Linked DNA regions of Rattus norvegicus. The protein of the gene in region 1 purifies or fractionates together with the protein of each later gene. This does not show direct contact. Links are inferred from orthologs where the notes say so. Each region holds a gene or a part of one and is shown on either strand. Other genes may lie near its edges.

What was found.
Region 2: the proteins of Tuba1c (region 1) and Cct6a purify together in Homo sapiens (affinity purification with mass spectrometry; 3 studies listed by BioGRID and IntAct, with this or other methods). This does not show direct contact. The link is inferred for Rattus norvegicus from reciprocal best matches to the Homo sapiens genes TUBA1C and CCT6A.
Region 3: the proteins of Tuba1c (region 1) and Txndc9 purify together in Homo sapiens (co-immunoprecipitation; 3 studies listed by BioGRID and IntAct, counting the BioPlex papers as one, with this or other methods). This does not show direct contact. The link is inferred for Rattus norvegicus from reciprocal best matches to the Homo sapiens genes TUBA1C and TXNDC9.

Annotation. Positions count from the first base shown.
Region 1 is NC_086025.1:132,069,749-132,079,426, forward strand, and holds Tuba1c (tubulin alpha-1C chain), read left to right. Parts: upstream 1-1,235; 5' UTR 1,236-1,317; coding exon 1,318-1,320; intron 1,321-4,855; exon of another isoform or gene 4,856-4,944; coding exon 4,945-5,167; intron 5,168-5,298; coding exon 5,299-5,447; intron 5,448-7,762; coding exon 7,763-8,737; 3' UTR 8,738-8,841; downstream 8,842-9,678. UniProt on the Homo sapiens protein: Tubulin is the major constituent of microtubules, a cylinder consisting of laterally associated linear protofilaments composed of alpha- and beta-tubulin heterodimers.
Region 2 is NC_086030.1:32,511,742-32,523,007, reverse strand, and holds the start of Cct6a (T-complex protein 1 subunit zeta), read left to right. Parts: upstream 1-3,935; 5' UTR 3,936-3,953; coding exon 3,954-4,090; intron 4,091-4,718; coding exon 4,719-4,782; intron 4,783-5,525; coding exon 5,526-5,660; intron 5,661-5,980; exon of another isoform or gene 5,981-6,115; intron 6,116-6,239; coding exon 6,240-6,413; intron 6,414-6,831; coding exon 6,832-6,935; intron 6,936-7,590; coding exon 7,591-7,701; intron 7,702-7,910; coding exon 7,911-8,070; intron 8,071-8,147; coding exon 8,148-8,230; intron 8,231-10,461; coding exon 10,462-10,558; intron 10,559-10,814; coding exon 10,815-10,962; intron 10,963-11,011; exon of another isoform or gene 11,012-11,142; intron 11,143-11,266. UniProt on the Homo sapiens protein: Component of the chaperonin-containing T-complex (TRiC), a molecular chaperone complex that assists the folding of actin, tubulin and other proteins upon ATP hydrolysis.
Region 3 is NC_086027.1:47,707,188-47,717,812, forward strand, and holds Txndc9 (thioredoxin domain-containing protein 9), read right to left. Parts: upstream 10,575-10,625; 5' UTR 10,485-10,574; intron 10,389-10,484; exon of another isoform or gene 10,253-10,388; intron 9,398-10,252; 5' UTR 9,378-9,397; coding exon 9,189-9,377; intron 7,328-9,188; coding exon 7,209-7,327; intron 4,332-7,208; coding exon 4,077-4,331; intron 1,056-4,076; coding exon 938-1,055; 3' UTR 487-937; downstream 1-486. UniProt on the Homo sapiens protein: Significantly diminishes the chaperonin TCP1 complex ATPase activity, thus negatively impacts protein folding, including that of actin or tubulin.

The DNA.
Region 1 (9,678 bases):
CTGTCTCTCTCCTCAGCATGAGGACTACAGGCAAGCGCCACTACAGCTCCTTACACGTTCTCAGGGAGCCATCTATCTCCTTAGCAGGGCTGGATGGCACTTCTGAGAAATCTGCTTTGCGGAGTTGTTCAGACAAGTCTGTTTAGCGTAGGTCAGTGCTGCAGAAGTCCAACTTCTCCCACAATGGAGACGCTTACCTAATTTGTTTCCCTGAACTCTCATCTCCTCATGATTTTTAAGATGGGGACAACAACCACCGGGCTCTTGGACCAGATAGAATGTGGTACCACAGTGTGGACATTCAATTCTGCATCCCACAGAATCAGAGAAAGGGATTAGTGTGGATCGTTTGAGGCCAGTTTGAGCACTGCAACGGGAACCCATCTTTGAGGTGGGGGGGGAATGAAGTTACAAGTTCCTTTCATAATGGATCGTATCTACCAGGGTAAGGCTCTTAAAACCCGAATGTTCACTTAAAGGGGAGCTGAGGCAGACTCTGCCTTCAAAAATAAAAGGGCGCTGGGGATACGCGGGTAGATTGATATCCTCAGGACTTGGGGTGGGAGAAGAGAGGAAGGAGGGAAGGGCTAGCCTTCTAGAGGGTAGGAGTAAAAAGTGCTTAGGACCCGCTGGCGGGTATTGAGACCTAGGTTAGGAAAGATTGCCTTCAGGAGCTGCAGCCTGATGATGCTGTAACCGGCTTTGGCCTCGGCTAACTTCAGCTCCACCCTTCCCACTGTGCCGTCAAGTTAACTGGGCGTTTCCATCCTAGCCCCCTGAAGCGGTCGCAGTCACCACCCAGCCGGCAGCCGCAGGTCACCCGGTCACCTCTCAGGCTCACTCTTCCCGGCTCCAAGACCTGGGTGGGGCGACCGAGCCACAAGTGCCGTGGCGACCAGCTGTGAGTCCCCGGGGGCCGATCCAGGCCGCCCCCCTCTACCTGGGACTTTCTTCCGGTCAGAGCTCCACAAAGATCTCGCTGTCCTCCAACTTCCAATCGCCTTCTCCACCTCCTTCCCCGCCCCACCTGGCCCTGGCGTGGATCCTGGGTGTCTCCTCCCCTTCCCACTTCCAGCTCCTTCTACGGAGTTTGATTTGAACTTTCGAACTCGCCAATCATCGGCCTCCGTGCGGCCCGGGGCGGGGTCCGGTGTCCGTCCTCCCGACGCGTGGCCCGGCCAGGGTATATAAGCACTCTCCGGGAGGCGGACCTCACACAGCTTCTCCCCCGGACTCCTTGGTAGTCTGCTAGTGGGAGACCTTCGTCACCCCCCTCTTCACTTCCTCAGTTTTCGCGGACCACTTCAAGGACTAAATATGGTAAGTGTGGCTTTGGGGCAGCGGCGAGGTCGTCTGAAGGGACCGCGGGAGCTGAGGACTGCCCGGGAGACCGTACCTGCCCTAGCCCCCGACGGCCGCCTCCAGTTAAACTGGCTTCTGGCGACCAGGGTTTGAGAGCCCAAGTCCATCAAACTAGTGTCGCTTTAGGCTAGAAGACTCGTCCCGGTACCTCTGTCTCGATCGTACTGGGAGAGCATCCCGTCTAGGCCGCCAGTCGCTCTCGGAAAGACAGAGAACTTTCACAATGACCGCAAGAGTTTGCAGAAACTAAAAGCTCTTCATTTTCTCAAATGCTGTCGCTCTCTCAGCTGGGATAACCAGAGGACCTCGTGCGCTGCGGACAGGGCTGAGCAAATACTTCCGGGCACCGTCTCCACGCCCTGTGACTCGCTGCTGAGTCACCTGTGGCCAGTCCCGGGACCTTCCAGCTGTGTACCTGGGAAGGCGAGCTCCTCCGTAGGAGGGGAATAATGGACGTCAGATCCCCTAGGCCAGTCTAGTTTCTAGTGTGTTAGTTCAGTGGCATGAAAAATGTCTATAAAGATTTTTTTCTATAAAGTTAAACTACCAACAGCATTCCGTCCCCCCCCCCCCCCCCCATAAAGGGTTTCTCTGTGTAGCCCTGGCTGTCATGGAACTCACTGTGTAGACTAGGATGGCCTCCAGCTCGGAGATCCGCCTGCCTCTGCCTCCCGAGCTGGGGTTAAACGCAAGCCTAATTTTGGTTTTTGAGTGTCTTATGAAGCTCATGCCGGCCTTGAAATCACTATGTGGCCAAGCATGACCTTTCATTAAAATTAGGATCCTTCTGTCTCCACCACCAAGGCCTAGGATTACTCACCCTGGCTAACAATGCATTAGTTCAGTTTTCTCGGGACAGTGGCTGGGCTCTGGAGGCAGAGGCAGGCGAATCCTCTGAGTTCAGGTAAGCCAGGGGTACATAGTGAGACTCAGCACAGCTTGGAGGGAGCAGCTAGTTCTCTAATCTTTGGAGGCTGAGACAGGGGGATTGTTCATGAGTTTGGGGCTTCTCAGGCTCCCCGGTGAGTCCCAGGCTAGTGTGGGCTACAGAGTGACTAATTTTGGTAAAAGGCCCCTCCTTGCTAAATAAGTTTAATTATTTGGAAGACCATGTACTTAGCGTAGAAGCTACTGGGTTTTCATCAGAAGAGAAGGAAACAAAATCAGACACATGGTCAGCTGCCAATAGAAATGTAAAAGAAAACCCCATCCCGGCATAGGGCGTAGTTTCACAATCCAAGCTAACTCCATTGATCACCTTTTGACTTAGCAGCTCCTTCCCACTTGTTTCTTATGAAACAGTCAAGGTCGTCTCCCCACACCAGAGGGTTCAGCTGTTCCAGAGCAGCCCAGGGATAGTGAAAATAAGGAGCAATCATTTAAGATCTATGGAAGCTTTGGGGAGGTGGGGTATACAGTCCTCACGTAGCCCAAGCTGCCTCTAAGGATCTGAGTTGTGGATGACCTTGAACTGCTGATCTCCTACCTCCTACACTAGGACCGGGAGCCTGAGCCACCATTTTGTGTGGTGTCGGGATGGAGCACAGAACTTCACACATGCTACACAAGACCTCTCCCCACTGAGCTAAATCCACAGCCCAAAGGCTGTTGTTGCCTTCTGTTTCACTCGCTTTTGTGAGTGTACTTTGAGGTGGTTGGTGTGCTTTCGGGGGCAGGAGAGGACAGTTTTCCTCAGAGTTGAACTCCGAGTTCAGGCTCAGTGGTAAGCTTTTTCCAGGTGAGCCTACTGGCCTCCCACACTCCGGGAGACTTTCAAAATTGTATTCTGAAAGAGGGATTCGGTGAGTATGAGTAACCGGACCTTAATTACAAAAGTGTAACAACGACTCTGTAGTTACAAAAGTGTAACAACCGACTCTGAGGTTACAAAAGTGTAACAACCGGCTTGCTTTTGATCAAGCAAACCCACAAAGATACAGTTCAGAAAAGCCCCAGGCTCACCTATTAGGCAAGCGTGGGCTTAAGTGTATGGTTTCGCTACACAAGCAAGCCTCTTATCCAGTTGAGGCTAGACTAAATGATTCATGTGTGCCTCTTGACTTTTCCTTCTTAGCTGCCAGGAGTGGGTTTGTGAAATCTTAAAGATTTCACATTTATCAAGTGGATGCATGTGTGCCACGGCATGCCTGTGGGAATGAGACAACTTGGGAAGTTGGTTCCCTCTTTCTTTACACTAAGGTCCCTTAGATTGAACTCAGGTCATCAGGCTTGGCAGAAATCGACCTTAACTCTTCTTTCAAGCCATCTTGCCAGCACAACAAAGCCGTTTAGAACCAGAAATTGGGGGACCAAAAGGCTACAGTTGAAGTGCCTCGTTAGAATCAATGGGCCTCAGACACTGCTTCCCTGGGCCTTGTGCCTCTGTCTAGCTTCTGGGGACTGGAGGTTCTAAAGTCCAGGTAAAGGTCACTTGAACCAGAGCTGCCCCTCCCCCACAGTCCTCAGGGCAGGAGACCCTGAGCTCACCGATGTGGTCAGAACCCTTGATTGTTTTATGGGAAACACAGAGGGACGGGTCAAAGGTTGTGAGGAATGGCTTCTTGTTTGATTACTCTGGCCTGAGAAGCTTCTCCTTAGAAAACCTGGGTGTTGAATGAGTTTCCTACCAAGGACTTTTAAAAGCCTGAGAGACTTTACTACTTAAGGAGAATAGCAACAGTTGGAGACTTTTTATGTCAAATTTGAAGGAAGGTTTTGCTGCCAAATTCAAAGTGCTCACCTCACACTGAATTATGAATGCTGGGGTTTCACTGGGGGGTATGGTGAATCCTGTGGGTTCAGCATCTGCACTCATTGGACCAATCAGGAATGGTAACTTTGGTAACTTCAGAGTGACTGTTGAGCAAGGAAAGGAAAACCATTGCGTCCCCTGACCTCCATGGTTAAATTCTTGTAATTACTTTTCCACAAGTGCCAGAAATATGCAATCTGATCTACTAGGGAACCGCTAATTTCCCCTTTCTTCTCCCACCTCTCCTGCCCCATTTCTTACTATTACGGTAAAGTTTTAGGAGAGAGACCGGGAAGGAAAACTGTTCAGGCAGATTAGTGTGCTCACTGGGGGCAAGGCTGCTTCTGGCCACACTTAGCATACAACTGTCTGCTTATCTGGCATTTTCTGTGAGTCACGGGGCTAGTTTAAGCTGGTTTTAAAGGGAAGAGGAAGTTTTGTCTCCTAAAGAGGGAATAAAGAAGAACTGTAGTGAGCTCAGGGGTGACAGTCACCCTTGACTCAGCCCTAGGATGGAAAGGTTCCGCTTTCAGTCCAAGGGTTCAGCTGGGGAATTCTGGCATGAACTTGACTGCCGCTCTATAGTATTAGAAAACTGATCCTGAACTACTGTGAACACAATCTGTGGAGGGGCCTGGCCCTGCCTAGTAGGTCATTATTAGCGTTAATGCCTTCCAGAGTACTTTTTCCCTTGAGTTAGCTCTTCAGTAAAAATTCTTGGTTGTGAAATGTCCCAGGCAGGAGTGGCCTCTGAAAAGTGATCCTATCTTGAGTCAAGCCCCAGGTCCTGGTGCGTCATGCTCTGACACTTTCTTCCGTCCCTTCCACAGCGTGAGTGCATCTCCATCCACGTTGGCCAGGCTGGTGTCCAGATCGGCAATGCCTGCTGGGAGCTCTACTGCCTGGAACATGGCATCCAGCCTGATGGCCAGATGCCAAGTGACAAGACCATTGGGGGAGGAGATGACTCCTTCAACACCTTCTTCAGTGAGACAGGAGCTGGCAAGCACGTGCCCCGGGCGGTGTTCGTAGACCTGGAACCCACAGTTATTGGTAAGCGGACTGGGGGCTTCCCTGGGGCAGTCCTTCTTGGTCACATACTCAGAATGTCTCTCCAGACCCGGAAGGGTGAGTGAGCTTGTGGGGTCCTTGGTGGTGTTGGCTGATGTCTTCTCCTTTTTCAGATGAAGTTCGAACTGGCACCTACCGCCAGCTCTTCCACCCAGAGCAGCTCATCACAGGCAAGGAAGATGCTGCCAATAACTATGCCCGTGGCCACTACACCATTGGCAAGGAGATCATTGACCTTGTCTTGGACAGAATTCGCAAGCTGGTAAGAATAGTGGGTTGTGTTCTGTGTTCTAACCAAGACTTGGGGGTCTTATGTATATTGAGTGAGACCAGCAAGCTTCCCAGTCCCCTAATCCTGAAGGCCATGTTAAGTCTCTTCGTTTCAAGCTCAGACATTCACATCCCTTTTTAGGTCCTCTCTGTCACACTGAGTAGGTGGCTAAGGCCTACATGTGACTAATAAGTAAAGCTCGTTTGGAAATCTGGACTGGAGTTTCATGTGAATAAAACTCGTTCATAGAGCAGCCAACTTGGCATACACAGGCCCCAGGGTTCAGTCTTCAGAACAGAAGAAACAAAGTTTCAGAGCCCAAGAAGCTGGTTTGACACCATTTATAGGGGCTGCAAGAGGTAGCTTAGCACTTAAGAGCACTGGCTGCTTGTCCAGAGGACCTAAGTTTGATTCGCAGCATCCATGTGGTGGCTCACAAAATACCTGTAACTCAAATCCTAGGGAATCTGTTGCTCTCTTCTGGCCTCTGTGGGCACCACACATAAGGCATGGAGATCTACATCCAGGCAACATCATATACATAAAGTAAAATTAAACCAGGAAATGAGGCGGCCTACAGAAGAACCCTTAAGCTAGCCAGGTGGTAGTGGCAGAGGCCTTTAATCCCAATACTTGGAAGGCAGAGGCAGGTGGATCTCTGAGTTCAAGGACAGCCTGGTCTACAGAGTGAGTTCCTGGACATCCAGGGCTGCATAGAGAGACCCTGTCTCAGAAAAAGATTAAAAAAAAAAAAAGAAAGAAAAGTAAAGCAAACAAACAAAAGTAGTCTTCCTCCAGCAAAGCTTGAGATGGAGTCAGGAGATTCCATATTGCAAAACACAACCTATGTTGATGGCACTCTGAAGTTCTAAGGTTAGAAATCCCAGAAAAACAATTTCCTAGCACTCAGGGATGCGAACTGGCTCTGGCGGGCCAGTCCTAAGCAACTCTAGTCCTAGACGCCCTTACCTCTTCTGGGAAGTGTGTTTTAATGAGCAGTCTGGCAATCAGATGACCACTCTACCCACTCTGTGAGGCTTGTAAGTGATTAACCAGAAAGGAAGCAGGCAGGCAGGCAGGTGGGGTGGAGTGGCTTGTCGGGAAAGTCAATCACTTTGTGCTAAGTCCAACCACACATGGTCTGTTCTAAAAAGCACCAGTTTTACCTCAGCCTCACACATGGAAAGATTGTAGCAAATGGCTGTAGCTAAGGACATTTCAGCAACAACACAGACTTGGGATGTTAGGGACCTGCCTTCCAAGGCACAGAAAGCAAGTAAAAGGCATTTACAGTTCTGGGATGACCACAACCAGAAGAATTGACCTTGGTGTCACTGTGTACCCCAGTGGCATGATGGATGTGACTCGACGAGGATCTTCCTGATAGTCCTCGTATGTCATCAGAATATGGACGACGCATGAGTGACCTGAAGGGTCAGTTATTAAATGTCTGCGGAGTTAAGAGTCTCAACAGAAGACTATTTGAAATAATTAGGGGTAGGGAGATAGCCGGGCAGTAGAAATACTTAGTACGTACCAGGTTCTCTCCCTGGGTATCAGGTCAGATTTGGCCTGCAGTCAGAGTAGACCACTTGGATGGAGCGGAAACCATTCTAGGCCTAGTGGAATGTTAATGTATAAGGAGCTCTCCTTGCCCAGAATGAATCAGCCCCACATACCGAGTGTGTACTGTGCCAAGCATCATTCCCAGTACTCTTAATTCCCAACCTGAACTAATAAGTGAGGCAGAGGAATTTAATTTGTCAGGTCACACATGAGGAGGTAGGGCCACCCACCTCCAGCCTGACACTAACTTGGGCAGTGAAACTTGGCTGTCCTGACATTTCACACCGACTTGGCAACATATCTGCAAGTCTGAATCCTGCCCTTTTGATAACTCCAACTGATAAGAGAGGTGCATGTGCCTGTGATCGGACCCACAGCAAGGTCACCAGAGACAACCTCCCAGCAACCACTTAGGGGGACTGGAGAGATGGTTCAGAGGTTTAGAGCACTGTCTGCTCTTCCAGAGGTCCTGAGTTCAAATCCCAGCAACTACATGGGTGGCTCACAACCATCTGTGATGAGGTCTAATGCTCTCATCTGGTGTGTATGAAAAAAAAATCGGTTTTGGGAAATGCCCCTATTCCTCAGAGGTTCTCAGTCACTGAGCACTTCGAATCCTTTTGCAACTCTTCTAGATGTTCTGAAGACTCCCAAGGTTATAAATTGTTAATTGCAAACTCAGAAACACCCATTGCAGCTCTCACAAAATATCAACATTGAAATGAACTTTTCTCCCACAGGCTGACCAGTGCACGGGTCTCCAGGGCTTCTTGGTTTTCCACAGCTTTGGTGGGGGAACTGGCTCTGGGTTCACCTCCCTGCTGATGGAGAGGCTCTCTGTCGACTACGGAAAGAAGTCCAAGCTGGAGTTCTCCATTTACCCAGCCCCCCAGGTTTCCACTGCTGTGGTTGAGCCCTACAATTCCATCCTCACCACCCACACCACCCTGGAGCACTCTGATTGTGCCTTCATGGTAGACAATGAGGCCATCTATGACATCTGTCGTAGAAACCTCGACATTGAGCGCCCAACCTACACTAACCTTAACCGCCTTATTAGCCAGATTGTGTCTTCCATCACTGCTTCCCTCAGATTTGATGGGGCCCTGAATGTTGATCTGACAGAATTCCAGACCAACCTGGTGCCCTACCCTCGAATCCACTTCCCTCTGGCCACTTATGCCCCTGTCATCTCTGCTGAGAAAGCCTACCATGAGCAACTTACAGTAGCAGAGATCACCAATGCCTGCTTTGAGCCAGCCAACCAGATGGTGAAATGTGACCCTCGCCATGGTAAATACATGGCTTGCTGCCTGCTGTACCGTGGTGATGTGGTCCCCAAGGATGTCAATGCTGCCATTGCCACCATCAAGACCAAGCGTACCATCCAGTTTGTGGACTGGTGCCCCACTGGCTTCAAGGTTGGCATTAATTACCAGCCTCCCACTGTGGTACCTGGTGGCGACCTGGCCAGGGTGCAGAGAGCTGTGTGTATGCTGAGCAACACCACAGCCATTGCTGAGGCCTGGGCTCGCCTGGATCACAAGTTTGATCTGATGTATGCCAAGCGTGCCTTTGTGCACTGGTATGTGGGTGAGGGCATGGAGGAGGGGGAGTTCTCTGAGGCCCGTGAGGATATGGCTGCCCTAGAGAAGGATTATGAGGAGGTTGGGGCAGATAGTGCTGAAGGAGACGATGAGGGTGAAGAATATTAACTCCTGTGCTGCAACTTTACACCTCTGTGGTCTCATCTTTGTCCTTGCGTGCGTTTTAACTGTCCTATACTGTCAATAAAGGTGTTTCCGTTTTAAGTGGGAAACTGGCTTCTGGTTCACAGCTCTCTCCCCTTTCCCCTTTAAGATTGCATCTCTCTAGATAATCCAGGCTGGCTTCCTGCCCCTGTCACATAGCTGTCACTGTCCCTGATTTGGATCACGGATTCATCACCCATTGAGTGGGTCCAGGTGGGACTAGTGATGAGTTGACCATTTTCTTTATTTTTTTCTTTTATTAGATATTTTTATTTACATTTCAAATGTTATTCCCTTTCCCAGTTTCCCAGACATAAGCTCCCTATCCCGTCCCCTTCCCCTTCTATAAGGGTGTTCCCTTCCCCTTTCCCTGCAACATTCCCCCTACACTGGGGAGTCCAACCTTGGCAGGACCAAGGGCTTCTCCTTCCATTGGTGTTCAACAAGGCCATCCTCTGCTACATATGCAGCTATGGGTCAATCCATGTGGACTCTTTGGTTGGTGGTTTAGTCCTTGGGAGCTCTGGTTGGTTGGTATTGTGGTTCTTTTGAGCAGTTGACCATTTTCTAGTTTCTATTAGCTGCTATGTTCTGTGCTCACTGATTAAAAACAATGTGTAAGTTTGGACTGGAGAGATGGCTCAGCGGTTAAGAGCACCGACTGCTCTTCCAGAAGCCCTGAGTTCAATTCCCAGCAACCACATGGTGGCTCACAACCATCTGTAATGGGATCCGATGCCCTCTTCTGGTGTCTGAAGACAACCACAGTGTACTTATATAATAAATCTTTAAAAACAAAACAAAACTTCCAAATGGAAGTGTACTTCAGGTATTTCAGGAGGAAAATTTTCCAGTCTCCCAAGCAATAGGACTTGGCCCTGCCAAATCCCCAACAAAAGACATGT
Region 2 (11,266 bases), on another chromosome or scaffold:
GACTGCCAGTTTGAGGCCAGCCTGGGCTACACAACAAGTTTCAGGTCATCTTGGGCTACAAAACAAAATCTGGTGTGGCAATACATGGCCATACTTCTAGCACTCTGGAAACAGAGGCAAAAGAATCAGCACAAGGTCATTCTGAGCAACATACTAAGTTTGAGGCTAGCCTGGGCTACATGAGACCCTGTTAGTTTTGTATTTTTTTTTAAAGATATAAATTAAGAAAATAATGAGGTCCGGGTTTGGGACTGTAGTTCAGTGGTAGGACGTGCACCTCTTCAGACTGAAGGACACGACACTGATTACAATCCTGGATAAGACCCTAGGACAGAAGCAACACATCAGAGCCATGGCTAGGGAATCTCAAGCTAAGTGATGATTAATTCGTTTTGTTTGGGTTTTGATTTCTTTTTAATAAGCCCGAATGTTGCTGCCTGAATGCATGCATGAGCATCACATGTGTGCCTGGTGCCGTCCGAGGTGAGGAGAGGGATTCAGATCCCCTGGAGCTAGAGTGAAGAATGGTTTTGAGTCCCCATCTGGGTACTAAGAACCAACCGGGGCCCTCTGTAAGGGCAGCACATGCTTTGAACTGCTGAGCCATTTCTGTGGCCCTCTTATGTCTTTTAAAGATTTTCAAATTAGTTTTAGTTATGTATTAGGGACAGTCTACAAGCAATCAGCGCCCACAGAGCCAAGAAAAGTACATCGGTAACTCAATTCTAGCGGATCCTGCACGCTCTTCGAACTTCTGAGGGTATCAGGCATGCAAGTGGTATACAGACAAACAGTAAAACACTCATAATCATAAAATAAATAAATAATGTTTTAATTTTTTTTTTAGACCAGGTTCTCTGTGTATCTCTGATTTGATGTCCCTGGCTGTCCTGGAACTTGATTTGTAGACTGACCAGGTTAGCCTCAAATTTGGAGATCTACCTGCCTCTGTTTCCTGAGTGCTGATTAAAGGTGTGGTGGTCAAGCAAATCCCAGTTCTTGAGTGGGCAGGAGGATCAGGACTTTAGGTCATCTTCAACCAGTGAGTTTGAGGCCAGTTTTGGCTCCATGAGACCCCTGTCTGGAAATGATGGGCTCAATGGTCAAGGTGCTTGCTTCCAGGCCTGGTGGCCTGAATCTGATCCCAAGGACCCACATGGTCCAGGAGGTGGTGGCAAGTGGATCTCTGTGAGTTTGAAGCCAGCCAGATCTACAGCAAGTACCAGAATAGCCAGGGCTCCATAGGAAAACACACACACACACACACACACACACACACACACACACACACACACACAGTAGTCCTCTGACCTCTCTAAATATACTCTGGCATAGATGCAAACACCTATACACACACAAATGAGTGTAATAAAACCTTTTTGAGATTCTGTCTCAAACAACCACAAAACTCTTTAAAAAGATGGGAAAGCAGTTGTTGGGGGTAGATCAAAGAATGTAATAATCACATATCTCAAATGTATCTTACAGGCATCCCAGCATGTATGTGAAATGTCACAGAAATTTTTAGTTGCAAAATATCAGAATAAATTTGACCCAATGGGAAATTGGTGAAATAAATTATAATGTAGTCATTTAGTGAATTAGGCCACTGTAAAAACAAAACAAAACAAAAAACAAAAACAACAACCAAAAAACAAACAAACAAACAAACAAAAAAAAAAACCAAGCCATGTAGTGGCACTCACTTTTACAGCACTCAGAAGGCTAAGGCAGGTGGATCTCTGAGTTCGAGGCCAGTCTGATATACAGACTAAGTTCCAGGGCAGACAAGGCTACACAGAAAAAACATGTCTCAAAAAAACAAAACGAACGAAAAAACAAACAAAACCAGTCTAGTCAGATGTGGTGACGTTCTGATATCCCCTGTTGAGAATGACAGTCACTGGGACATACATAGTTCAGAGGTTAAGCTCCCACCCAAAATGGTGGGTCTAGTGGTGCATGCCTGTACTGCCTGCATTTAGGAGGTAGGCAGATCGATCGAGCGGGGGGCACAGCGGTTAAGAGCACAGGCTGCTCTTCCACAGGTCCTGTGTACCACACTCAGCACCTAACATGACAACTCACAACTATAGCCCTAGGAGGCCTCTTCTGGTACGCAGATATACACACAGACAGAATGGCTATGCACATGAAATAAACAAACAAATAAATAGGAGGTAGGTAGAGGCAGGAGGATCAGGAGTTCAAGGCTAACCTTGTCTGCATAGTGAGACCTCGTCTCAAAATGAAAACAAGCCACAAACAAAGAAAAAGCAGCTCCAATATACGCTTCGCTAATGTTTTAGGGAATATTATATTATCTCCAGTGTCAGCACCGAGTTTTCCTGGGCAGTCTTGAGTTTTCCAACTCGATCCAACATTTTCTTGCCCTGTTCTCTACTTTGTAAGCAGACGACTGACTCTGCAGTCTCCCTCTGCCTTGTTTTACCAGCAGTGATGATGAAACTGCCAAGTGGTCTACAAACGTAAACACGAGTCTTCTGCATGCCAAATATCATATGCACAGCTTTTGCGATCTCTCAAATCTCCAAAGCTACTTTAAACATTATACTTAGTGTAGCCAGAATAGCAAGAGGTTTGGGAATGTCAGTCCGATGACTGGTTAGTTCTTTTTCCTTTTTAAATTTTCTGTATTTCGAACCTATACACCTGCTAAACCTTCTGTTTTCTTTGGACAGGGTCTCACTACGTAGCCATGGTTGGCCTGGAACTTGCTATGCACACCAGGCTGGCCTTGAAGGCACAGAGATCTGCTTGCCTCCCATGTTCTGGGATTAAAAGCATATGACACTACGCCTGGCTATGTATCGTTTCTGTAATGAGTATCACACAGATGTTGAGGGGAATGAGAATTTCTTATTCCTATCAAAATGGCAAAACCTTCAGTATAGCTCAGTAGAATACATCCAACGGCATTATGAGTTGTCATCTGTGTGGAGAAGTGACTCAAAAAAATTCAGCACGTATCGTATCTATACCTAAGTGCCCAGACATACTGGCAGGGGAAACATCTATACGCTTAGTTGGTTTTGTTTTTGTTTTTGTTTTTTAATGTTTAAAGGAATGCTTTCAAAGACTGGGTACCACTGTCCAGCCATATTTGAGTTTTTAGCAGGCTTAGTTCATAACACGTTGGAGGTTGAGGCAGGAGGATTGCTACGAGTCCGAAGCTAGACAGTGAGCTGTCTAGCCGGGACACAGAGTGAATCTTTGTTTCATATTTTTAAAAATTAAGAAAACAAAACTGCCTCAATGACCTGGGCCCTAAGAATAGACTGATTCTTGAGGCTCCTCAACGCCCATCGCACCACTCCTAAAGCCATCTAGTACTTTCTGCCTAGCAATAATGCTCCCGTCAAACTCCGGGATTTTTAAATGACCAGGGTAGAGGGGAAGGGTCCATTTTCTGTGTTCCCACATTCACGGATAAAAATAGGCAAGACAAATGAACCTGGGAAACCTCGCGAGAGTGTGAGGGAAGCATCCCGGAGTCCAGTAGCTAGAGACACCCCGCAAATAGAGGCCGACACCTCTGCTTCCTGTCACGCCCAGTCGAGTGCCGAGGTCGAAGCATCCCTCACACACGAGCAGTAGTGCTTTTCCTGCAAAACTGGCCGCGCAACCGCCACGCCGTAATCCTTAAAGCGCGGAACCGCAACGTTGTGAGGCGAGCACAACGGAACCTTAGAATTCGGAGTGCGGATTACCGGAGAACAAGTTTCTCGGATGCGCAATGACGTCGCGACTTGGCGTGTGGGCGGGCCCAGAGAGACCAGCGTCAGGATAAGCCAATCAGCGGGCACCAAGAGAGCCACAATCCAATGGAGGTGCTCTGTGGGCACGCTGGGGGCGGGCCAGATGCGTAAGACTTTTCGAGAAGACCCGCATAGAGCACGTTGTTCTCGGCCTCTCCCTGAGCTCGACCAGCCATGGCGGCGGTGAAGACCCTAAATCCCAAAGCCGAGGTGGCCCGGGCGCAGGCAGCGCTGGCGGTGAACATCAGCGCGGCACGGGGCCTGCAGGATGTTCTGAGGACCAACTTGGGCCCTAAAGGCACCATGAAGATGTAAGCCCGGGCTGGCGGGCGGGAGGGCCTGGCGGGTCAATGGCCGCAAACTCCAGTCGCTGCCTCCAGGCCTTCGCACTAGCATTTTCTACAATGTTTGTGCTGCATCCCATCCAAACCACCCGGATTCGCGCCTTTCGGGGTTGCGGGTTGCACCCACTTCTTTTGGAGGAAGAGGATGGCGTGTGCACCCTTCCTGAACCCAGCCCCCCCGAGTTTACTAGGATGTAGGAATAAGACCCAAATTTCAGGAGGATCTGTTTTTGTTACCTTATTAGCCAGCAAATTAGTGAAGTTCCCTGAGACGTAGCGCTTGGATTTTTAAGTATACTCTTAGTCACGCCTCTCGTATCCGTTCCTCAAATTACGCCTGCTTTGGAGTCCTATTTCATAGCCTCCTTTTGTCCCCTTTACTCCTCTTTCGCTTTCGTGGGTCTTTTCATTATGTAATTAGTCGAGGTAGAGTCTGACTGATAAGTTATGGTTTGTCTGGAACTCCCAGAGATTTGCATGACTTTAAGAGAGGGTTGGGTGATATACATCACCCCTTGGCTGCTTTGTGGAATTCTTACTTGCTTTTTTATTGGAAAGTCACATTCTTGCTCATCAATCCCTGCCCGTTTGACAGGCTTGTATCTGGTGCTGGAGACATCAAACTTACTAAAGATGGCAATGTGCTACTTCATGAAATGGTAAGAAGCTGCCGTGCTAGGTATTAAAAAAAAAAAAAAACTTTTGACCTGTTCCTTCTGGATAAAATTCTTCATCGTACGTTTCAAGCAGAAATATAGGAAGTGCTGTAGTGGGTGAGGAACTCTGTAGAGTCTCAAATGTGTGTTTGGGTCCTTGGTATTTTGTTTTGGTTTTGGCCTACTTTGTATAGTCTGGGCTAAAAAAAAAATAATAACAATAATTGTATAAAAGATCGCTATGTCTGCTTTAGCTAAATCTTGTAACACAGCTTTAATCCCAGTACTCAACTAGATCTCAGGATTCAAAGCCAGACAGAGCTACATATGCAAAAACAGGGCAGTGGGAAAGAAAAGCAAAAATGAATGATCATCTTTTTACTCAACTGCAGGAGAAATGAAAAATCTCCTTACTTTGTTTGAGATGAGTCTCACTGTGTAAGCCTCAGTGATTACCTACTTTCTTTCCCTGAATGCTGGGATTAAAGCTGTGCGCCTCACACCAGGCTACCTTAGAGTTGTTATTTTTGTCCCTGGGATCATATTAAATTGACCCAATTACCCATTTCCCTCACCAGAACTTTCAGGTCCTGTAGTTCACATCCCAGTAAAGGGAATGTCTTGAACATCCAACCAAAATGTAGCCATGCTGTGCAATCTTGAGTGGGACGCTGTAAAAGAAGCCTTTCTTATGTTTTACCCTAGGTAACCATAAGTCATTTAAGTAGTTCTTTTTCTACCTGCAGCAAATTCAACACCCAACAGCCTCTTTGATAGCAAAAGTGGCTACAGCGCAGGATGACATAACCGGCGATGGCACTACATCCAATGTCCTCATCATCGGAGAGCTGCTCAAACAAGCGGACCTCTACATTTCTGAAGTACACAATGATTCATGTTTCTGAGTTTCTGCTTGTTGTTTGGTGGGCTAATGGTGCTAATTGATGTGATGCTAGCTGAGGGCACACCGTAGAACGGTTGAGCTGCTTAGCTCAGAGAGCCTCTGCCTGTCTGTCACTGGTCTGAAATGAATGGGAAAAAATCACCTCTAAGTAATGATTACATATTTTTAATGGACTAGCCTACTCTGGTTTCTTTTTAAAAATATTTCAAAATGATGTGAATTAGTTTCAGATTACCTGTAGACAAGAGAAGCAAGCTCTTACAGCAAAATGTTAGGAGCCAGTTTTGAGTTCGTGGATTGCACAGTGAACACCCAAGTGTGCTCTGTAGTTCCCTTGGCCTTGACTCTGTGCTAGAGTAAAGTCTGTTCTTTTCCTCTGCATTGAAAGGAGTACTGTGTCCTTTTAAATGTATTCAGAAAATCAGCACACCATCTTAATTGTAGTGAATAGGAGGGCCCCAGGGTGTCCCTTGAGATTACTGACTGACTGGGTTTCAGTGGTATCCTGTTGAAGATGCAGGTGTTGGCACTGGCTTTATAGCTGTTTGGATTATAGGGTCTCCATCCCAGAATAATAACCGAAGGCTTTGAAGCTGCAAAGGAAAAGGCACTCCAGTTTTTGGAACAAGTCAAAGTAAGCAAAGAGATGGACAGAGAAACACTCATCGATGTGGCCAGGACATCTCTGCGGACTAAAGTTCATGCTGAGCTTGCAGATGTCTTGACAGAGGTGTGTATCGGCCTCGTGTGGTGCAATGCATGGGGAAAGTCTGATGTAAAAACCTGTTCTAAGCGTGCATGTGTAGGCTTTTCACAGAAAGTCTGTGTAGAGGAAGGGGTTAGGGTTTTCCCTGGGCAGTAATGATCTAATCTGTCTTCAGCTTGGAAAGATGGAGTTAGTAACAGGCCAGGCTTAGGAAGAATTGACACTCCTCCAAAATGTCTCTAGTCATACTTTGGGGAACTGGTCTGCTAGTCCACAATACAGTATGAATTGTAGGGCTGAGATTGGGGACCTGTGCCACCATAAAATAGCACTTGTGGGGTTTCAGAGACAATTTTCTTAAGCCTTTTCCACTCTTCTGAACAACAGCTAAATAAAGTGTGTCAGGCTCTGCACATTAAATTTATTAATGGTTATCTCATAGGCTGTGGTGGACTCCATTTTGGCCATTAGGAAAAAAGATGAGCCCATTGACCTCTTCATGGTTGAGATCATGGAGATGAAGCATAAATCTGAAACTGATACAAGGTAGGCAAGAGAATGCTTTGAAGTGCTTTCTACCACTGAGCTGCGGGCTTCCCCCCAGCCCCCAGTCCTGAGACATGTTCATACTGGATAGGTTGCTGAGTATGGCATTTACTCTAAGTAGTATGCACTGTGGGGATGAGGGAAGGCTGTGCTGTGTTTGTGGTCGGTGTGATTTGAAATGTGAACATGTATTGATACGCTTGACTACAGTGCACATGTATGAGTGCTGTATCTGTGTATATGCCTGCATGCCAAAAAAGGGCATGAGATCCCATTATATATGGTTGTGAGCCACCATGTGGTTGTTGGGAATTGAACTCGGGACCTCTGGAAGAATGGCCAGTACTCTTAAACTCTGAGCCATCTCTCCAGCCCTGAAAACATTTCTTTAAGGAGTTGAAGTGATCACAGTTGGATAGCCTGCTAGTTGTAGACTTGCAAGCTTGTTTTTGCCTAGGTGGCCTGTCTTGTGTCTTAGAGCATTCCTTTTTCACATTTGACCTTAGGTTTAACTGAAAAGTTATTGAACGACTTTAGAAGCTAGTGGACCTGTATAAAAATTAGCACTGTAGGAATTACTTGATTTTACTTTATTATGTGTCACTTTCCCGTCTCTGTTTGCTAACAGAAGTGGGATAAATTTTCTGTTTTATAGCTTAATCAGAGGGCTTGTTTTGGATCATGGAGCACGGCATCCTGATATGAAGAAAAGAGTAGAAAATGCCTACATCCTCACATGCAACGTGTCCTTGGAGTATGAGAAGACGTGAGTGTGGCCCCTTTGGGTGGGAGGAAGTTAGTGTTTGTCTCATTACCGTCCGCACATCTCATTACAGTACAGACAGTAATGAGACATGGGGGCTCGGTGATGTGGAGCCCACTGGTGCAGCACTTGCTTTTTAGAGCCTAATACAGGGCCCTTAAAAAGCTCATATAACATGGAGATCTCTTCTCTTTTTTTTTTTTTTTAAATAGAGAAGTGAATTCTGGGTTTTTTTACAAGAGTGCAGAAGAGAGAGAGAAACTAGTAAAGGCTGAAAGAAAATTCATTGAAGATAGAGTTAAAAAAATCGTAGAACTGAAGAAGAAAGTCTGTGGTGATTCAGATAAAGGATTTGTCGTTATTAATCAAAAGGTAAGAACTTAAAATTATGAATGAGTCTCACTTACTTTTAAGGTGACAGCGATTGAAGAATGTTTGTTTCTATGCAGGGGATTGACCCCTTCTCTTTAGATGCCCTCGCGAAAGAAGGCATCGTAGCTCTGCGCAGAGCCAAGAGGAGAAACATGGAGAGGTGAGTGGTGCCAACCTAAGAAAGTTACAATTGTTCCCTTCGTGCTTCTGCTTGCTTTCATTTTACTGGCATGTTTTAGTTCAACAGACTTGTTGATTTTCTTCTTTTTTTTTTTTTAATGATTTATTTATGTATATGAGTACACTGTATGTCTCAGACACACCAGCAGAGGGCATCGGATCCCATTACAGATGGCTGTGAGCCATCATGTGGTTGCTGGGAGTTGAACTCAGGACCTCTGGAAGAGCATTCGGTGTTATTAACCCCTGAGCCACCTCTCCAGTCCCTGATTTCTTTATTATACAGGCATATGATGCACTTTGATCACTTGCACACTCCCTGAGTCTCTGGTTTCCTTCCCTTCCTGTTACTGCTGGCTCCTGTTAGCACATAGTCCGTTTTTAGCTGGGCACTGTGGGCGCTATGGCACACACCTTCAATCCTAGCACTGGGAGAGCAGAGGAACGGTGCTCTCTTAAGTTTGAGGCCAGCCTGGTTTACAAAGCTAATTCCAGGACAGTCAGGGTTGTTACACAGAGAAACTGACTCAAAAAAATGACCTAGATTACAGACTCTTGCTTTTACTGTGGCAGTCTTACCTTTGTAAAAATCTACATTTAAAAGCTTTTTTGTGTATGTGCAGGCTTGTGCGTACCACAGCATATAAGGTCCAAGGACAGCTTACAGTGTCTTCTACCATGTGGATCCCAGGGGTTGAACTCTGGTTGACAGGTCCCCAAGTTTACCATTTAATTTCACTCTATTGTCTGAGCTTGGCATTCCTCAGCCTTCCGAGTATATGGTTAGTGCCAGGAGCTGGGGAGATGGCTCTGTTATTAGAAATATATAATTGTTCTACAGAGCACCTGAGTTCAATTACCAGCACCCAAATGATGGTTCACAACCACCTGCAGCTCAGAAGTCCCCCTCTGGCCTCTGTGGGCTCACAGAAAAAAATATAAAGTACAATTCATTAACTATGGTTCCCACTGGTCATCATCTATCACTACACTATTACACTATTTTTTTCTTCTCCTAGCCTTTGACACCATCAAAAAGTGGATGGAAGAGATTTGTCTTTTTCCACGTCTTTACATTTTTTATTATGATTTTATTTGTAAGACAGTCCCAGGTGGCCTCAGAAGCAAAGAGACCTATCTGTCTGCCTGACATCTGAGTGCTCAGATTAAAGGCTTGTGCCACCATGCTATCTGTATTTTTCCTGTTTATGTCTTTACCATGGGCGTTCAGTGTCCGTGGAGGTCAGTTTAGGACATTAGAACCCCTAGAACTGGAGTTAGGGAAGCTCAGTCAACCTGTGGGTGTTGTGGTTTGAGCCTCGTCCTGTGTATGAGACGCTAGGTGCTCATGGCTGCGCTGTCTCTCCTGCACATTGTTTTTATTGGTCTTAGAGAAAGCAGCTGACATGAAAAGTACACTTGTGGAATAGAGTGGAGGGGCTCAGGAGCGACAGCCTGGCGTATCTCACTCGCTTGGCATATCTTATAACAGGAAGTCAAAGGAAAGCTGGCTGGTGCTCCATTGCGTATATGTTGTCCTGTTGGTTCTGAGATTTACACGAAATTCTATGAACATTACTTTATACGTTTTATTTTTAGACAGGGTCTCAATATGAACTCACTATATAATAAACCAGGATGGCCTCCAGTTCAGAGATTAACCCTGCCTCTCCCTCCTGAACCCTGGGATGAAAGGCAAGCATCACCATGCCCAGACATGTGTTTTATTTTTTTCAACCATGACATAAGTGAGACCTGTTTTTTCTTGCCTAGAGGAACATCAAGAAGATAGTATGTTGGATGTGGTTGCACACAAACTGTAGTCCCACCACCACTCACGGAGTGGAGGCAGGCTCTTGGCCTGTGTACATGGCTCAACCAAACATTCAGTATTAAAAACTAGGAAGATGGGTTCGGTCCCCAGCTCCGAAAAAAAAAGAAAAAAGAAAAAAAAAAAGCTAGGAAGAAGGTTCCTAAGGAATAATCTTCCCACAGAACCCCATCTGTAGTCTGGTTTCTTTGTGACTGGTATTTTGATGACCTGGCAGGGAGGTTTCAGTTGAGGTTTAATGGGCCATCTACCCACTGGGTTATGATGAATGCGAAGGGGGCTGCTTTAAGATACACTCTCATGCCATTCTGAGAATCTCCTTGCTTGCACCTGATCACCGTGGCTTACTGTAATCTCCCCAATGTGTTTCACTGTTGCAGGCTGACTCTTGCTTGTGGTGGGATAGCTCTGAACTCCTTTGATGACCTGAATCCTGACTGTTTGGGACATGCAGGGCTTGTCTATGAGTATACATTGGTAAGTGTTTTCTTTCTAAGACTTTTTTGTTTATCAGTGGTCGAGTAGGAAACTTTAAACTCAAAATTAGATGGTTAACAATTTTATGGGGTTTGGTTGGTTGGTTTGAAATAAGTTGGTTTTTGTGTTTGTTCGGTTTAAGATAAGGTTTTACTGTATAGCTTTGGAACTCAGAGACCTTTGCCTCTGTCATAGAGTTAGAGACCGTCATGACTGTGGGTAACCTGTTACTGACAATAATTTCTCTTCTACACAGGGTGAGGAGAAGTTCACCTTTATTGAGAAATGTAACAATCCCCGTTCTGTCACTTTACTGGTTAAAGGACCAAACAAGCACACGCTGACTCAGATCAAGGATGCAATCAGAGATGGCTTGAGGGCTGTCAAAAATGCTATTGATGATGGTAAGAACCTCTCGGTATTTGAACTGTGTTCTTGTTGCTGGTCTAACAGGCATGGCTGAATACTGTGTTCTTTAGTCAGTAATTTACACAGCCAGACACCATGCAAAAGTAAAGGCTTCCGTTTTAGATGGCTGATATGCTATTTTGTATGGTATATCATTATCAAAAGTGAGTACAAGTAAGTGGCTAAGGCTGGTGGCTCCTGAGCTACTGATTACTGCTTATGGTAAGATTCGACCTTTTTGCTGGCTATTGATTGCTTATACTGTGGTATAAGTAAGTCTGTGCAAGGGGTATTGCCTAT
Region 3 (10,625 bases), on another chromosome or scaffold:
GTTCTTTTAGATTGCTTTCAAATCCCAAGACACCTTTAATTCAATTCATTTGTATTTCTTGTATTGTGTGTGCACATTAAATGACAACTTGCAGGAATTGTTTTCCTTCCACCAATGGGTCCAGTCCCCAAGTTTTGTGGCAAGTGCCTTTCTACACTGAGCTGTCTATTTCAATAGATGATGCTACACTCTCTTTTCTTACCAAGACTTGCTAGTTCTGGGCATCAGATTCTTTTTGTTCATGCTAAACACAAGACCTGGTTTTTCTTTTTCTTTATGCTGTTTCCAGACTCACATTTTCACCTTTGCTGAAGTTGTTTTACTGAGCAGTCAATGGAGTTCCTTATGCTGTTACCCAAAAACTGTTTAAGTAGTTTTCACATGTTTCAGCATGTACTTAACAATGAGGATCCCTTAAATAAGACAACATGCTCACAACCTGAGTTTCCTGCTGGTCTCAGCAGATTCAACATGCTGTATCCAGAACACATGGTTAAGTCTTTAATAGTTCCTGAAAGCCATTCCATGAAGTGGATCGCTGACAGGGAAGTGCATGTGGTGCCCAGGGGAAGGTGTCCAACCTGGTGTATAGTCAGCACTCAGTAGGGCCTACAAGAGTGGGCTGAATTTCTATTTCTAATGCAGGAGATTAAAAACACAAGTGTGAGCAGTTTAAAGATAGAAGAATCACATTATGAAAAAAACAACCACAAAAATAGAGAATTCAGACCCTTCCCAGGTAATTTAAAATATCTGTTTCTCTCAGGTTATACATAATGACCATAGACAAGATGGTCAAACAGTGTAAACGCTGGGATAAGAGTATCAGATGGTCAATGGGCCGAAATCAGTGGAATTTAGAAAACACGTTAACTCAGACAGACAGACAGACAGACATACACACAGACAGACAGAAAGTTTTAAAGTATAGCACAGTCTAATCATCATCAGAATCGGAATCGTATTTCTTTCCTCGGATAGTTTTCTTTTCCAGCTTTGTGAAGTTTGTCCCAAATTTCTTTTGGCTCTGAAATGGTGGCTCCATTAAATTTCCACTGAAAGTGAAACAAAGGATAAGAGCATTTTATTCTTTATGATTTAGTATCCGCAGGATGCTAGACTATAAAAAGCACGCATATCAAGTTAATAGTTTCATATACTATTTAACTGTGTTAGACAATGCTTGAATTTCTTGGTTATCATGATCATTGCTATAAACAATTTTGGGGTGATGGAGAGGATACTGGCCCTCTGCATGCTAGGGCAGAGAGAAAAGCGAAGGTGCACTGACCCTGTGCCGCCCCGTGCCAGTGACAGGCAACACTGCTGCTTTTGAGCTCCTGCTGGGACTCGTGACTCTTCCTGGGTAGCACCTCAGTGTTACATTTCTACACATATTGACGGACTCATGGAATGTGCTATTATCAACCTGGAAATAGCATTAAACAAGGATGCTAGAGAAATAAATGACAAGAGACAGGTGTGTGTGTGCGTGTGCGTGTGCGCGTGTGCGTGTGTGTGTGCGTGTGCGTGTGTGCGCGTGTGTGTGCGTGCGTGTGTGCGCGTGTGTGTGCGTGCGTGTGCGTGCGTGTGTGTGTGTGCGTGTGTGTGCGTGCGTGTGTGTGCGTGTGTGTGCGTGTGTGTGTGCGTGTGTGTGCGTGTGTGTGTGTGTGTGCGCGCGAGCGCGTGTGTGTGTGTGTGTGTGCGTGTGTGTGTGCGCGCGAGCGTGTGTGTGTGCGCGCGAGCGTGTGTGTGTGTGTGTGCGTGCGTGCGTGTGTGTGTGTGTGCGTGTGTGTGTGTGTGTGCGCGCGCGTGCAGGTGTGATGGGGGTAGGTGGGGGCGGCACTGTGATTCCAGGTGCCAGGAGGGTAAGGAAGGACTGAGAAGTTGAGGACCACATGGCTTATGTAGGGAGAGCCTATCCTAAACAAACAGTAAATAAATTAATCAATATAGAAACACAGCTAACTCTGGAGAGTAAACCACAAGTTCTCCTGGAGGTCATATTTCGTCTGGATCAAACAGGAAGGATCAAAGTATAACAAGACTTACAGATGATAACCCACAGGATAAAGTCAGTCATGGCCCAGACCGATCATTAAGTGGGCAAGTAATGGAACAGGCAGTTCCTCATCCAACAACTGCCTAGCATGACAGGCCAGTGCTCTACCCAGTGCCTTACCACTAAATAGAGACGATGGCTTACGATGCACGAGGAATGAGGGCATGGACATCCTCCTGTGGAAAACTAGCCATGCCACAGGATCTGGGTCTGACACTGATAAATTCACAATCTCAGACTGGGAGCATCTGAGGAATTAGCTAGCTTGTATACTTTCACAACCTTTTTTTTTTTTTTTTTTTTTTTTTTTTTTGAGACAGGGTTTCTCTGTGTAGTCCTGGCTGTCCTGGAACTCTCTGTAGACTAGGTCGGCCTCAAACTCAGAGATCCATCTGCCTCTGCATCACAGGTGCTGGGATTAAAGACACACGCCACCACACGGCAAAGCTGTCACCTTGAAAATTAAATTACCAATCCTTACAGGAATTAAATGCAAAAACTAGACATGACTTATTTCTCAGACATGGAGAACAACAAGAGGATGGTGGTTTGAGTAGGTTCCATAAAATACATCGTCACTGTTTTAGTAAGTGCAGGTAGTGTGCAGGACAATGTCCTATTCTTAGGAAGTATACCTTCAAGAAAAGGAAATACACTCAAGTAGTTCTGAAAGAAACTTACAGGCGCGTCTGACACCGCGTTTAAAAGTGGCAAGGCACTGTAAAGACGTGTGAGGATTTCTTTTGTTAGCTTGCAACGTAATCAACACTTGAAACTGATCTGCTGGGCACGGTGGACCCCATTTGTAATCCTAGCACTTGGGAGGCTGAGGCAGGAGGAGTAACATTATGGACTGTAGAGTAAGACCTTGTCTCCAAATGTCAAAAAAACAAAACAAAACCTTCAAAATATAACATTTGGTTGAATGAATGTTAACTTATTAATATTAACAAGAGAAGTTGATTTCTATAGTTTAGGAATGTCTCCCATGTTGTTGAACCAATGCTAATTTATGTTAATATTAACGAGAAGAAACTGACCAGTAGGGAAAGAAAAGGGGAGATTTTCTGCTTTGAAAGGCACAATTTTCCTTGTCTTTTTTTCCTTTCTCTTTTTAAGCATGAGGCACAGAACACAGGTAGTAACTTTCAATTTGAAGGGGATAAAAGTCATGTACAAAAAACCAGAAGCGGGATTTTAACTGTTTTCCAGAGTAAGAGAAGCAGGGAAACCTTTTGCATTTGTAGACTGCACAGGAGACAGACAAGAGTCTACCCTAAAACCCTACTGTCTCCACAGTCTTCAGGGCCAGCACAGCTAGCATTGTGAGGGCCTGGTTTCAACTGCACAAGCGTAACGCCTCCTGTGCTGGCTGGCGTGCTTGCGATTTTAACTTCATCACAGAGAGTCCTTTAAGTCAGTCAGAGATTGGGAAGGCAAGGTTTAGCCTATAGCTTAGGGACAGAGGACCTGCCCAGCGTACGAGAGGGTCTGGGTTGAATCTCTAACATTAAAAAACAAAGAACAAGGCCCCCCTCACACAGAGGTAATCTATTCTGGAATGCCACTTTGGGCTTCTAAAATTAGTTTCAGTAACATTTCTTACGTTGAAAACGTCTAGGCCACCTCTAAACCTGTCTTTAACTGTAAACTTGGTTTTGCTGTAAGATCACACTGCTGTATGCCCTGAGAAGTGTTGGGTTTTTTTTTCCCCCCAAGCTGTCCACAATTTAGCTATTAGGCCTTACTTTCATAAAATAAATGTTAACTAGCCAGATGTGGTGGTGTGTCCCTTTAATCCCAGCACTCAGGAGGCAGCGGCAGGCAGATCACTGAGTTCAAGGCCAGCCTGGTCTACAGAGAGTTCCACGACAGAAAGAACTATAGAGAAATCCTGTCTTAAAAAACAAAAACAAAAATAAAAGTACAATGAAAAAAATCTCTAAAACTATTGACTATGCATAGTTTCAAAACAGTCTATTTTTTTGTTTTTTTTGTTTTAGCTAAACGTTACCTATAATTGATAACATCAGAACAACCGAGTCTCCATTCTAAAGTTTCTGTAGTGAAGTCATCTGTATTTCCCAGGTCGGTGAATCCCACAATATAATCTTGTGTCTTGCCGTCTCTCAGGAGAGCTAATGTGGGGATAACTTTGATCCGCAGTCTCTCACAGAGGAATGGTGCCTTTTCCACATTCAGCTTCAAAAACTTGGTTTCAAGATGTTTTTTGGCCAGAATTGCCAAATGTCTGTCTAGTATTTTACACCTGGAAGTTAAGGCAGAGAAGTAAAAGCTAAAGGAGCAGCCCTGCACAGCCCACCTCACAGTTTCTCTGAGTCTATGAGTTTATGAACTGTTACGCTTACGATAAAAACAAGGAGGGTCTTGGTTCCCCTGTGCATGAAGACAGACCTGAGGCTGACGGAACTCACAAGAGGCAAAATACAGCTGGTGTCCCCTTTGGAATTCAGGACTGAAAGCTGGAGTCACCGAGACCTCTCTGAACCATGTAACTGTCAGGAAGCTCTTCGGTTAAAGGTTATAGACTCTTTAAATATGGCTAGTGTGTTCTAGAGAAATGGGCAGTATTAGCAGGGACTCCCCCCTCCTCAGGGACAGACACGGAACCCAGTAAATGCTCATTCAGCTCCATACTCTTTACTAAGCCTGAAGAGGAAGGAACACTGTCTTTAAATTAAAATCTGCTTTACACAAACCAAGCTCCTAGTGTGTTTCTAAATGAACTGCCAATGTTTTATGATCAGTGGTTCGTAAGCACAGGGTTCGTTAGAGGTGACTCTTATTTACTTATTTATTTTGAGACAGGAATCCTGTGCCCCACTACCACTCACTAATAGGTAACTGTTACAGACTACAGATGAGTGGAAAGTCTCCGGGTGGCACAGGGAAGTGCACAGGTGACTCTTGAGTACATGGGTCACTCTAGAACTAGGTCCGGGCTCAGGCATTTCCTGCGTCCTTGATGTCTAATCTTGTCTTGTTGGCTTAAGATGGTTGCCAGATGGTTCAGTAATGAGACTTCAGGGATTAGACCAGGTGCAGTGGTACCTGCCTTAAATCCTTGCACTTGGAGGCAGAGGCAGGTAGATTCTCTGTTAGCTCTAGGGCAGCCTGGTCTACACAGAGACACTGTCTCAGAAAACCAAAATAACAAAACAAGACAAGATTTTAGAGATAAAATGGAAAAAGAGCAGATAACAGGTTTTAAATGATGCTCAAAACAAACTACGAATCTGTGAGAAACATAAACTCCCTCCACACTCCAACTGTAGAAGGAACCTATTTTAATAAAGCCTATGACCAGGCCATTTGTCAGTTAGTACATGCTGTTGTTCTGAGAGAAGGTCTTACAGCTCAACACAGAGATCCTCCTTGCTGCCCTCTGTCTAGTCTCACAAGCAATCAATCTATCTTTAAAAATCTAGCATTGTGCTGTATGCCTTCAATTCCAGTACGTGGGAGGCAGAAGCAGGTGAATATTCCTGGCGAGCCAGAGCTATACAGCAAGACCCTCCCTGTCTTAAGAAAAGAAAAATTGTGCCATGCATGAAGCTGTGGGTTTATTCTCTAACACTGCAAAAACACCACCATCAACAAACTGAACAAAGAAAAACCTCTACAAAACAAGTAACAAATGAAACACCTACCAGAACAGAACAGAACAGAACAGCAGTTAAAAACCCAGAGGCAGAGCTGAAGAGAATGCTCAGCGTTAAGATCATGGCCGCTCCTGCAGAGAACCACTGCAGGGTCCACTGCCAGCACCCACGTGGTTCACATCCATTCCCAATGACAGCCCCAGGGCATCTGAGTCCATCTTCTGATCTGTGTGCACGTACGCCGCAGAGACACACATGCTGGCAAGGCACACATTTATTCCCAAAGAATAGATAAATCTTAATAAAAGTGCAGTCTCACTTTTAAAACATGGGACTCCTCCATCACCCAGTAGCCGAGTCACTTCACTCTCCATGCAAGGAAGAGAATCGTGACCCACACCTCAGAGGGCTACGATAAATGTTTGACAGACAAATGCTCATTCACAGATGTGCCCAGTTTACTCTGTGAGGGGACTTTGGAGGCTGTATACAAGACAATAGAATGGTTTGAATTTGGGTTCCCAGATCAGCCTGGAGGTGAGCACCCCAGTGGTTCACTGTCTCCTCCATCAGTTACCTCCACCTGACTTCTGCTCTTGGTAGTTTGCTTTACCCCTGCTGTGGTGGGCTGGCACTTCTTATGCCTCTGCCTTTCTAATTCTCAGTAAATTAATCCAAGGCACTCAGGCCCTGAAAAGCGTTAACACTGAAGTGGTGGCTCTGAGGTTAAGCTGAGGCCCTCACTGTACCTCAGCCCTGTCTTCTCTCCCTACTGAGGAAGGGCTGAAGTGCAGCGAGTCAGTTACCCTGCACGTCCACCTGAGAAAGGCAGCACCAGAAAATTGCTATTATGATTCTAAATCTGTTATCAGCTTTTCTAGTTTTTAAAAAATCTGACTAGTTCTTAAGTTGTCAATTTTCAAAGGTTGGCAACTAACCCATTTTGAAGGCACACACACACATACACACACACCACCTCTTGGGCTGAGCTTGGTTGTAGGGCAGTTGTTTAGCATGTCCAAATTCTCAGTTCTCTCCCTCAAAAAATGTAACTCGGGAGTCCTGCTACTTTCTGGGTTGCCTTAAGGGAAATTACTTCTCTCCAAATCTGACTGTTCCAACTGCAGTTCTGCTGAAAGACTTGGTCAAGCCACTGTGTCCTTACCAAGAGGACAAAGACTGAAGGGATAAACAATTATGAAAGTTGTTGGCTCCCAATTTCCAGCATCCTATGAACACAGCATATCAAATTATTGTTTTGGTAAGAATTACAAGCACTTACTTCTGGATGTCTTTTGACTTACATGGAGAAACCACAGCTCGGCACAATGAAACATTTACACAGGACTACTGACTTCAGATAAGACCGACTTATTTACTTGCAAGGTGCTTGCTGGCTTAGGCTAATCTTCACAATAATGAAAACACCTGTGACCACATCACCACACGTGACTGCTCTAAGTCAGCAGTGTCTCTACGCACATGTCTCATCCCAGTAGAGAGAAGAGCGGAAGCCAGGTTACCTGAATGTGGTGTCTCTGTAGAAATGGCAAACCACCTTCTCACTCTCCTTGACCTCTTGAAAGAAGTCTCTCTCGCTGCCGATTTCCCTGTACTCCCCGTGTCCTTTGGAAAGCCATTCCTAATTTCAAGAGAAGCAAGAGACCCAGCTGACACGTGTTTTCGTGGTACCGAGTGTTTTATATCTCTTAATCATTGTGTAATTTTGTAAGGGAATCAATTCTATTGCATAGCAGGTGTTCCTTCAGCAGTTGGCTTTCCTAGGATCTCAGTGGCCATTGTGCAGAGCTAGTCTGTGGGCAGGAGTGACCGTCTCATGACAGGGGTTCATTAGGGCAGTTCTGCACCTTGTTCATTTACCTGCTTCATTTTAAGTTTCACAGCCAGAATTTAGGTCTGTGAGACATAACATGAAAATACCAATTTAACTTTCACATGTGTGCTCTTTAAACTAATAAAATCAGGGTTGTTTGATTACAAAACGGTTTTTCGGTTTATTTTTGTGATGTGAGGGACTGAACCAGGAGCAAGAGCAGGAGACAGGAGAGCTCTACCACGGAGACACACACACACACTCACTATTTTCTACACTTTAGAAAGTAATGCTCTCACAGGCAACTAAAGAATGTTGAGAGTGGGAGGAAGAGTCTTCTCCAGGGAAAAGCACGCCAACTGGCTGTCCACTACCAAATGGTCAGTCTTGAAAATGTACACACGAGTTAACATTACAGACTGAGCAGGGCATATTTAGAAATGTGTATGTCTACACACACACACATATAGGGATGTAACAACAATTAGTGAGAACAGAGGCTGTGAGCGTGAAAGGGAGAATATGGGATGGCTTGGAAGGAGCAAAGGGAAGGGGGAATGATATAATCCTATGACAATCTCAAATTTAAGAAATAATGTCCTATCCACAGCATAACTAAACAGACAACCAAACTAAACCAAACCACCTCATGAAATAAAGCCCATCCACCCTGGGGGACAGTGCAGTTATCGAAGCTCAGGAAGCTTAGGACCCTATCTGCTTCTGACAGTAATCTCAAAACAGGCCGGGGCTTCTAGAGCAGCCAATAGTGAGCAGAGTCCTCAGAAGGAAAAGTATCCCACCCACGTGGTGTCCAAAGCCAGGGAAAAAAGCCTCACATCTAATTCAGGTTCCCAAGCTGAGGCAGGGCCTTTGTCAACCAAGCCTGGGACTCTTCCAGCCCCTTCCCCTTCCCTGTAGCAGAAAGCTTGTCACCTCAACGGATGCTCACTCTCCCTTTCAGGCTGCTGGTTAGGAGAAAAGTAACAAGGGAGGCTGCAGTGGCCACGCCCATCCGACATTTACTGACCGTTTTTTTTTTTTTTTTTTTTTTTTTTTTTTGGTTCTTTTTTTTTTTTCGGAGCTGGGGACCGAACCCAGGGCCTTGCGCTTCCTAGGTAAGCGCACTGACCAGTTTTAAGGAGCCTTCCACTTCACCTTCTCTCTTGTAAGTGGGTGCAACAACCCAACCATGTCACTGAGTGGCCATGAAGATGACAGACAGAATGGGGGTGCTGGTGCACACCTTGGGCCCCAGCGCTTCGGAGGCAGAAGCGGTAAAATGTCTGAGATTTCTAGGCCAATCATGGCTACACAGTGAGATCCTGCTCCTGTCCTGCCCTCCCACAAAAGACAAGACAACCTAATAAAAACGCAAGTCTAACACTTAGAAATATTTTCTCACACACAACCATCGTATTTCTTTTTGATGTGTGGACCCTAAGCTTGCCCTAAGAAAAAGTCTCAATGTCTCTCTTTCACATGTCATCGCCTCAGTCAAATGGTACATCTTGCCTAAGTCTTCCCTAATGTTTTATTCCTGGGCAGCTACTGAACAGTGTCGTGTGAATTTGGAACATCCTGCAAGTGAGGAGGGAAAGTCACATGACTGCACAGTGCAGTCAGGAGCACAGGGTTACAGTGGTTTCAGAGAGCAGGCGGAGGTTACTTGTTTCTGCTGCTGAGCCTTCCGGAGCGCCGCCAGTCTCTTTTCTTTGAGCAGTTCCAGCTCATCTTCACCGATCTGATCCAGTTTCTGAATTTCAGAGTCCAAGTGATTTTCCACTAGCTTAGCAGCCTGGAGGAACTGGTTTTCTAGGACTTCTGAGAACATGTCGATAGATCCATTTCCTTCCATTTTCCTAAATGGTCTTGGTGCTGGGGGAGGGGAGGGGTTCATAAAAAAACAAGTATTAAGTTTACACTCTGGGTTTTTTGTTTTTGTTTTCTTTTTGTTTTGTTTCTGTTTTTCTTTAAAAGACAGGGTCTCTATAAGGCCTGAGACCTTAACAGGCGCCATGTTGGAGGCATCATTTTGGCCTTAAAACTCAGCCATGTAGGCCCCAGAATAAAGATACCCACTGGCCAACCTGATTTACCCAATTTCTCAATGAGTCTTTCTTCCCAGGTGACTGTAAGTTACTGCATAAAGTTGGCAGCTAAAACTAATCAACTCGCACACAAAATAACCCTGGGCACGGTGGCTTATGACTGTAACCTCAGTTCTCAAGGGCAGAAGCATAAGGATCAGGAGTTTGAGACCATCCTTGGATATATTTGGAGGACAGGCCTGGGCTACTACATAAGACCATTTATTTTAAAAAAAAAATCCCTAAACTACCCTCTAAGCCTCAATTTTCAGCTCCTCATGAATATTATACAACTTAAAAGCTGTATCCCCAGGTTCCCTAACCTGGGGAGGAGAGATACAATAAGACTGTGACTCTTCAGGAAGATCTAGATGAAGGGATCCGAGACCAGCTACTCACAATCTGCCATTAACAGGGCATAGTAGTCGCTTATCCCTGAGGTTTTCACAGACCTTTAAGTTTAAATTCAGAGCTTCATGAGACTAATAAGTGCTGCGCTGGGTTAGGTGGGGCTAAGGATGTGTAGCTTAGTGGTTCCCCATAACTTTCTATTTGTTAAGTATTACTCTTACCGATGAACTGGGGGGGCTGACACTTATTTGTTCCCCTACAAACTCCTACCCGAAACCCTAACCCCGTGTACCTGTCAGCGGACTCTTCGCCACTCCCTGAGCTCAAGGGACTGGTGGAGGAGTTCCGGGGGGTGGGGAGGACGCTAGTTCGCACTAACTGGGGCGCATGCGCCGTAGCCTCCGCAGCCGCCCAGACGAGGCCCTCCCAGCCGCCCCCAGCCCAGCCGGATGTGCAGCCGATGTGTGTCCTTCATCTACACGGGGACGCAGTGGCAAGATCGGCTACAGAACCCTCTGCCGTACCTGGATTATTGGTGAAGCCTACGGAGAGAGGGAGCCGCAGACCAAGAGCACCGACCAGGTTCACGCAGGTTTCAACCTCACAGCAATTGTTAAGGGCGGCGAATGAGCTGTCAGCTCCACCTTTTCATTGGCTACAGCCCT